Caenorhabditis elegans: one gene and its partner. The protein of the gene in region 2 interacts with the protein of the main gene of each other region in a pairwise test. Each region holds a gene or a part of one and is shown on either strand. Other genes may lie near its edges.

Region 1 (5,050 bases), on a different chromosome or scaffold from region 2:
GTTCTGGTCTTCCTCGTTGAACTTTTCGCGCTCCATTGACAACCGCCTGCCGGATAACGCGTGGGAAAGTCGTGTACTCCACACGGACAAATACATTTAGTTTTACAACTAAAATCGAGCCGCGACGCGACACGCAACGCGCCGTAAATCTACCCCAGGTATGGTAGAGCCAAGATGGCCTAGTTCGGCAAAAACTCTTTTATTTCAATATATGAGGGAAGCCAGAAATCCGTGAATTTTTATTCAATTTTTTTTTTCAAAATTTTTTGTTTCAAAAAAAAAACGAAAAATTTAAAACAATTCAAATATCCTTTGAGGGCGGTAAACTTCAAAATTTAAAAAAATTTCTCAATTTTTGAATTTTAGGTTATATAACCGGTTATAAGAATTTAAAATTAAAATTCTTTTAGAAAAAAAAATATTGCAACAAAAAAAAAAAAAAAAACTTCCTCCGAGTAATAATAATTGGCAAAAAAAAAGAAAAAAAGAAGAAGCCCGGAGGAGCAGGAGCTGGTACTTGTCCCATTAATTTTCCTTTTTTTCTTCAAACAATAAAAAACAGCTGAATTTTACGGCAAAACTGCTCTAAAAATGTAAAATTTCATTGAAAAAGTAGGCGCAGCCAATACACCATGTGGTGTTTTGGCGCTGTCTCCACACGCAAGTAGTGCCAGGGGCTGTCCCAATACGGTTTGATCTACAAAAAATGCGGGAATTTTTCGCCCAAAAAAATGTGACGTCAGCACGTTCTTAACCATGCAAAATCAGTTGAAAACTATGCGTCTCTTCTCCCGCATTTTTTGTAGATCAACGTAGATCAAACCGAAATAAGAGACACTCTGACACCACGTGTACACGTTTAAACTTTTCCAGCTGTAAAAAATAAAATTTTCAAAAAAAAAACATAATTTTTAATCACATGTCTTGTTATCACTGTGTTATCTGTTATCACAACGACAATTTTTTTCACGAAAATTCTTTATTTTTAGGTATTACCCAAAATATTTGAATAAATTCCAAAACTTTCCGTGTTCTCCGTCCTCCATTTCCCACTTTCACAAATGGTCCATCATCCGAACTTCCGGTGCTCTCTCTCTCGCTGTACAAGAGACACAGAAAACCGAGAGAGAGACAGTGATTCGTGGTAGAGACGCAGACACATATACACACACACAGAAAAGTGATCTGGTGTCTGTGTGTGTGTGTGTATATTGTGAGAAAGAAGAAGAAGAAGACTGCGTGGGTGTAATAATATGCGTCCTTTTCTCCCCCCTTCTCTTTCGATTTCTTTTCTTCAACTTTTATCACTTTATTCACAACCTATTTCCTACCGTTTACCACCTTTTTTTTTGAGGAAACTTTGAATTTTTATTGAAATTGTTCAAGCTTGATTCCACGGAGTTGAAATCTACCAAATTCAAATTCCACTGCCTTCCCCGGGTTTTTTTTCCATTTCGATGGGTTTTTTAAAAAGGAATTAAAAAAAACGTTTTGTTTTCAAATTAAAAATTTAAAAAATAGACTGAAAATTAGCAAAACTGGGATTAATCCCACGGAGTTGAAATCTACGGAGTTCACTTTCCACTGCCTCCTCCGGATTTTGTATTTTTTAAACATTTTCTAGTACTTTTCGATGAAACTTTGCATTTTTTCACCTAAAATTAAAAAAAAAGTTTTCTAATTAGCTGAAAACGATAAAAATAAGAAAAAAAAAACATTTGCGGAGTTGATATCTATGGAATTCACATTCCAAAATCAGGCCAAGACAATTAAATATTGTTTTTTTTTAGCTTCCAGCGCAAATTTTCGAATTTCCAAACAAAATTTTGGTTTAAAACTCTAATTTTCTACCTGAAAATCAGGTTTTTTCATCGAAAATCATCGAAAATTAATTAAAATTCAAATTTCCCTCCATTTCCCCAGTACGTACACCGTCACGCAAAATTGCGTACCCGTCCGATTTTTCGCATTTTTTTGAATTTGTTTTCCTGTTTTTTGATGAAAATCAATAATTTTTTGGCATTTTTCAGGTGCAAATGAAAAGTTATGCACTCAAGCGAGAATACTACACCTAACAGCAGCACGGAAGGGCCATTGTTTCTAAAAGTGAGGGCGAAACAAGTGAAAATCGAGGAAAAAAAGGAAAAATTAGAAAAAATTAGAAAAATACCATTTATATTATTTATTTTCATCGAAAATCAATTATATTTACAGTTTAAAATATTCTAAAAAATCCTAAGTTAAAAAAAAGGAATTGTTTTTTCGCAGACTCACACGAACCCAACACCGCCTGATATATCGCCAAACGATGTGTGGTACCATGGGGAATTAAACGAACACGATGCCAATCATTTGCTTCAGGTTTCTTTTGCGAAAAATTACAAAAAAAATGGCAAAAAATGGCAAAAAACCGGCAAAACATTCCAGGGCACATCTCCCGGCGCGTTTTTGGTTCGGCAAACTGGCCAGACGAGATTTTATCTGTCGATATTGGATCAAGACGGCTATCCGAAACATTTACCGTTGGTTTTTAAACATAAAAATTTAAAATTCAAATTTTTTTCAGCATCCGCCAACTCACCCCACCTCACTACTTTTTCGAAGGAAAGCGTTTCGAGACCCTTCGAGATATTGTAGATGCCTATCAGCTGGCTGTGATTCCAGTTCGAAAAGGAGGAATTATGCCGATTAATGGGGTATTTTTTTGCCCCATTACGGTTTGATCTACAAAAAATGCGGGAATTTTTCGCCCAAAAACATGCCAAATCAGTTGAGAACTCTGCCGCATTTTTTGTAGATCAACTTTATTCAAGCCAAAATAAGACACTCTGACACCACGTGTGATACACCATATTTGACGCGCAAATTTTTGCATTATTGGATAATTTGTTGGATTTTAAAGTGATTTTTCAGAGAAAAAAAAGAAATTTATAATATTGCGCGTAAAATAGAGTGTCTTGAGTCTGTAATCGAGTAGATCAAATTTAACGCGCAAATTTAATTTAAAAAAACAATTAAATTACTCCATGTCTTACGAAAACACAAAATTCTGAGAATGTGTATCACACAACATATTTGACGCGCAAAATATCTCGTAGCGAAAACTACAGTAACCCTTTAATTGACTACTGTAGCGCTTGTGTCGATTTACGGAAGTCAATTATTAATCAATAAAATTAAATTTTAAAAGAAATCTCAAAAATGGCAAAAAAATACAATTCTCATTGGTTTTTTCGTTATTTTTTGCCATTTTTGTGTTTTCTTTTAAAATTTAATTTTATAGATTAATAAATGATTTCCGTAAATCGACGCAAGAGCGCTACAGTAATCATTTAAAGGGTTACTGTAGTTTTCGCTACGAGATATTTTGCGCGTCAAATATGTTGTGTAATACGCATTCTCAGAATTTAGTCTTCCCGTAATAATTTATAATTTGTGCGTCAAATATGACGAATTGGTCAGAATATCGATATACACGAATATAAAGTTTTGTAGAATTATCTGTAATAGTAGTAGTTTTTGCGCGTAAAATATGGTGTATTGAGTCCGTAATCGAGTAGATCAAATTTAACGCGCAAACATGTCCACGTGGTCTCATTTCGGTTTGATCTACTTAGATCTACAAAAAATGCGGCAGAGTTTTCAACTGATTTTGCAAAAAATTCCCGCATTTTTTGTAGATCAAAACGTAATGGGACAGTCGCTGGCACCCCGTGCATGCCGGAATTTTAATATACCATAAAATTTGTTTCCAGGAAATCCAAGAAACCAAGTACCTATGCGTTAGACGATTCGAACAACGCGAAATCGACGAAATGAACTCGGAAATCGGTGATATTCTGTCAGTTTGTGAGACCGACGAGACCGGATGGATGTTAGGACGAAATGAGACGAGCGGTTCCGTTGGAATTATTTTAAGATCACATTTGGAACCTTTGGTAGGGAAAAGTAGGAAAGACTGGAAATTTCTAACTGAAAATTTGAAAATTCTAGGAAAAAACTGATGAAAAATTACAATTTTTAAGCAAAAAAATGTTACGTTTTTTTTCACAATTTTCTACAAAAAATTTAAAAAATTAATTAAAAAAGGCGAAATTGTGCTAATATTACGGGAACACAAAATTCTGAGAATGCGTATTGCACAACATATTTGACGCGCAAAACATAAAAATATCTCGTAGCGAAAACTACAGTAACCCTTTAATTGACTACTGTAGCGCTTGTATCGATTTACGGAAGTCATTTATTAATCAATAAAATTAAATTTTAAAAGAAAACACAAAAATGGCAAAAAAAAATTACGAAATGTCATTTTTGAGTTTTCTTTTAAAATTTAATTTTATTGATTAATAAATGATTTCCGTAAATTGACACAAGCGCTACAGTAGTCAATTAAAGGGTTACTGTAGTTTTCGCTAAGAGATATTTTTATGTTTTGCGCGTCAAATATGTTGTGCAATACGCATTTTCAGAATTTTGTGTTCCCGTAATATCTAATGTAGGCTTTGGCGTACCAAATACACTTATTTTGGTACAAAATCGCGGCGAGACCCATTTATAAATTGCCTACCTAATGCCTGCCTGCTGAAAAAAAAAACAAAAAAATTTTTTTTTTTTGGTCCAAGCTGGATTTCTCCAATTTATTAACACTATTTGAGAAAATCGATAAATCTCGATTTTCGGGGGCAGAAAAATCAATAAATTAACACTATTCAAGAAAATCAATAATTTGCCAAATTTTTGGAAAATTCGATAATTCACGTGGTGTCAGATTGTCCCATTACGGTTTGATCTACAAAAAATGCGGGAATTTTTTTTCCAAAAAAATGTGGCTTCTTCAGCACGCTCTTAACCATGCGAAATCAGTTGAGAGCTCTGCCGCTTTTTTTTGTAGATCAGCGTAGATCAAGAGACACTCTACAACACCGCGTGAAATTCTCAGATTCCGTGCTTTTACAGATCACAGAGGTGGCCGATTTGTCGGATCTACCGTACTTCTACGATACAGTATCCACGGACATGGTGCAATACAGCCCCATTGGCACATTTC
Region 2 (4,015 bases):
CCTATAAACAAAAATGTATTTATTAAGTAATCGTTTAGTATAATAAGTTTTATATATACCTCTCCACTCAGTTTCTTGGTCTGTCCATATCGAACCTTGAGTCGCCGGGATTGATAATCCAAGCAGTTAGAGCACGAAACAAGCTCACGATAAGCTCCAGATCCTGGGAACCAGGCTTCCAAATCGAACTTTTTCGCGGCAGCATTGTTGAGTTCTCCAGAGACAATATTGACGACTTGGTATGGAATTTGAAGCTCCTGGTAATAGCTCTCTGCATTTCCAATCATCTCATCGAAGAGTGTCCATGATTCATTATCGTTGGGACTGCACAGAACGAATTGCTCGATCTTTTCAAATTGATGAACACGGAAAATACCGCGTGTATCTCTACCGTGACTTCCGACTTCTTGTCGGAAGCAAGTGGAGACACCAGCATATTTGATTGGAAGCTCAGTCTCTTTGATCCACTCATTTCGATGATAGGCGGCAATTGGCTGTTCAGAAGTTGCAATCAAATACTTCTCGTCGACAGATGTATCACCTGCGATTTCCGATCCCTTCGAGCTGACCTTGTAGAGTTCATCATCGAATTGACTTAGTTGAGCAACTTCTTGCATGACCTCTTTCCTCATGAAAAATGGAGTATATAGTGGAACGTATCCCTTGACATTGAGACGTTGCAGAGCTAACTGAATAATAGCTTGCTCCAAGAAGACAAGTGGGCCCTTCAAGAAATATCCACGACCTCCAGCAACAACTGTTCCGCGCTCTCCATCAAAGCCATCAACCATCACAACCAAATCAACGTGTGAATACTTCTTCTTGGTGCTTAAATCTCCGAAAGTTCTCTCAATTTTGTTGTTAGCTTCATCTTTTGATACGACGACACTAGAGTGAATCAAGTTTCCGATTTGAATGAGCTTCTCATGGCGTGCATTTTCGTTGGCGATGACGGCAGCTGCAGTTTGAACAGACTTCTCATCGACAAGGACTCTGAGCTTTTTCAGTTGAACAACGGTTAACTGAGACAGCTCATCAATTTTCAATTCAGCAAGACGTGCGACAATGTCATCAGCAACGGAATCGTCTGTTCCTTGTGGTTCCTTCTTCTAAAAAAATCTTTGGTTGACACAAGTTAGAGTTAACTGACCTTCATTTTCTCCCCAATAGCTTTAGAAATAGCATTCTTCTGGCGATTAAGTTGATCAGCCACAAATCTCTCCTTTCTCCATTTCTCATCCAATTCAATCACTTCGTCGACCAACTTCGGATCCTTGAAACGGTCCTGCTGCGACTTACGAATGATTTCTGGGTTTCCACCTTAACTTCGATACTGTTTTTCAACTGTTGGCAATGTTTTTAATGATTGACACTTACCCTTTTCAGTACGGAACATGTCAATGTCGAGAACCATCTTGAAAGCTCAACAAGAGTGAATTACCCTGAAAAGCACGAATATATTCGAAAGTATGTAAGCAAACAAAATTTTCTAGAGGATAAAATAAAACGAAAAGCGTCACATAGACGAGAGATTTGGTAAAATTTCGTAAGATTTCAGGCCCGGTTCAGGTCAGTTTAATGTCTGCGATTGCTCGTCACATGTGATGTTTCGTGTGGCAAAGGGTACGGTGATGCATTTGATTTGACGCCAATTACTTATTATTGAAATTTGGATTTACTTTTTTATTTACGTTTTAGTCATTAGAAAGTGAGTTTTTTAGGTTTATTGTTAACTTAGAGAGTACATAATTAAAATTAATACAAATCGGTCGAATATAATACAATTTATGAAGAATTTACTGTTATTTGCGTCATTTCCAGGAAAGCTCGATGAGCACGAGTGCATCCCTTTCTCCAGCAGCTTTACAAAAGCGATCAGATGCTCAGAAGTTTGCTATTGACTTGTTAATTGGCGGGGTTTCAGCGTCAGTTTCAAAAACTGTAGTCGCTCCTATCGAACGTGTAAAAATTTTGCTCCAGGTAAAATTCTCATAGTCAGTGTTAATTCAAAATGATTTTGTAACAAACTACGTTTACAGGTTCAATATTCGCACAAAGATATTCCTGCTGATAAGAGATATAATGGAATTATCGATGCATTTGTTAGAGTTCCCAAAGAACAAGGATTTGTATCATTTTGGAGAGGAAACATGACAAATGTTATACGTTACTTTCCAACTCAAGCTTTTAATTTTGCATTCAATGATTTGTACAAATCGATTCTTCTAAAAAATATGAAACGGGAAAATGTAAGTTTTTTGGGTGAAATTACATTTGTACTCTAATAATATTATTTCAGAACGTGCTCTCATACAGTGTCAGGACACTCGTCTCTGGAGGACTTGCTGGTTGCTCTTCACTTTGCATTGTGTATCCATTAGATTTCATTCGTACAAGGTTATCTGCTGATATCAATCATCACACGAAGCGAGAATATAAAGGTCTTGTGGATTGCACAATGAAAACCGTGAAAAATGAAGGATTTAGTGCACTCTACAGAGGATTCGCTATTTCTCTTCAAGTGAGAATGTATCTTTCTTATCTTCGTCCTATTAAAAATTTTTACAGACATACTTCATTTATAGATCTGTATATTTCGGATTATACGACGCTATCAGAAATACTATAAACACGGATAAGAAGAAATTACCATTTTATGCTTCGTTTGCCATTGCACAAGTATGTTTTCTTTTTTCAAAAACTTTATTTGCATTAAAAACTGTTTTAGGGTGTAACCGTACTATCGTCATATTTAACCTACCCTTGGGACACTGTGCGGCGGCGAATGATGGTAAAAGGACAGCTGAGCACATCAAAGGCTTTTTCAGCTGCACGAAAAATTGTCCATGAGGAAGGTGTTCGCGGATTGTACAAAGGAGCGTTAGCTAACATTTTTAGGTTTGTATGAGGATTACATATAATGTTCTTTAAATTTATGGTTTCAGAAGCGCTGGTGGAGCACTTGTCATGGCACTTTACGAAGAGATTCACAAGCATATGTGATCGAGCAAAATTGGACCGAAACACATTTATTCACCATATAATAATTCTCAACCTTAGATTCTCATCTAGCGATTTATTTTTGTATATTATTCTGAATGCTTAGGAAATTGTTTTTTTTCTTGTTAACCGGTTACCTTCTGCCATGAGGATCGTTTTTTTGTTATCCTATTGATAAAAATTCAAAATTTCGGAGGAGAGCTGACGTGTCACTATTCTATCAAACGCTTGTCGCATGCATTATTTCACTCGTTTCATCGATTTTTATTATTTTCTATCAATACTGAAACTGGGAACTGGACAAAACTACTTATAATTTAGATTGAACAAATCGAACGCAGTATGGTATTAGTATGGTGAGCTGAAATTATCTTTGGAAAAAAAAGTTAATTAATAAATTTCAGAAATTTGTCAAAAATGTGTTAATTTTCATCGCATTGTTCTCTACGACGTGCTCACTCAAAACAACGAAAAATCCATTTCTTTTAACGAAGGAGGAAATAAAATATGCGTCAATTTCAGATGTATGTGTGCATCTAATTTGTAACTAAAACTATAACTGACAGGTGGATTTGCAATATGGATTGGCAAAAACACGCGAAATGTTTCAATTTGGATGGGATAACTACATGGAACATGCATTTCCAGCAGATGAATTAGATCCAATTCATTGTAGAGGCCGTGGACACGATCATGATAATCCGTAAGTGAGCAGGAAAAGAGAGAGGTTTCAATAACAGATTCAGAGATAATATTAATGTTAACGATGTGCTTGGAGATTACTCGTTGGGATTAATTGACACTTTGGATTCGCTTGTGGTTTTTGGTAAGTTTGTTAATTTTTTTCAAAAGTTATTATTAATTGTCAAAATTAAAAAATGGAGTATCGTCAGTGGAAATTTAGTCTAAAAATACTCATGATAGCCCAACATGTCTGATTATAACAAACCCAAAATGTTTAGATTTTTTCGAAAATTTAATTCAAAGTTTTGGTAATTGTCAAATGTTCCAAAAC

The links.
Region 1: the proteins of C47E12.2 (region 2) and gap-3 interact in a two-hybrid assay, tested with the Caenorhabditis elegans proteins (one large-scale study listed by BioGRID).

What each region holds. Positions count from the first base shown.
Region 1 is NC_003279.8:2,007,476-2,012,525, reverse strand, and holds the start of gap-3 (SH2 domain-containing protein), read left to right. Parts: upstream 1-2,000; 5' UTR 2,001-2,046; coding exon 2,047-2,106; intron 2,107-2,268; coding exon 2,269-2,361; intron 2,362-2,427; coding exon 2,428-2,522; intron 2,523-2,566; coding exon 2,567-2,696; intron 2,697-3,755; coding exon 3,756-3,938; intron 3,939-4,959; coding exon 4,960-5,050.
Region 2 is NC_003282.8:10,001,153-10,005,167, reverse strand, and holds C47E12.2 (ADP/ATP translocase), read left to right. Parts: upstream 1-1,665; 5' UTR 1,666-1,708; intron 1,709-1,821; 5' UTR 1,822-1,830; coding exon 1,831-1,980; intron 1,981-2,039; coding exon 2,040-2,249; intron 2,250-2,299; coding exon 2,300-2,521; intron 2,522-2,568; coding exon 2,569-2,679; intron 2,680-2,728; coding exon 2,729-2,898; intron 2,899-2,945; coding exon 2,946-3,003; 3' UTR 3,004-3,194; downstream 3,195-4,015. Other genes in the region: sars-1 (putative serine--tRNA ligase, cytoplasmic), read right to left, coding at 1-1, 60-1,109, 1,151-1,320, 1,378-1,414; C47E12.3 (alpha-1,2-Mannosidase), read left to right, coding at 3,354-3,356, 3,405-3,524, 3,567-3,703, 3,747-3,826.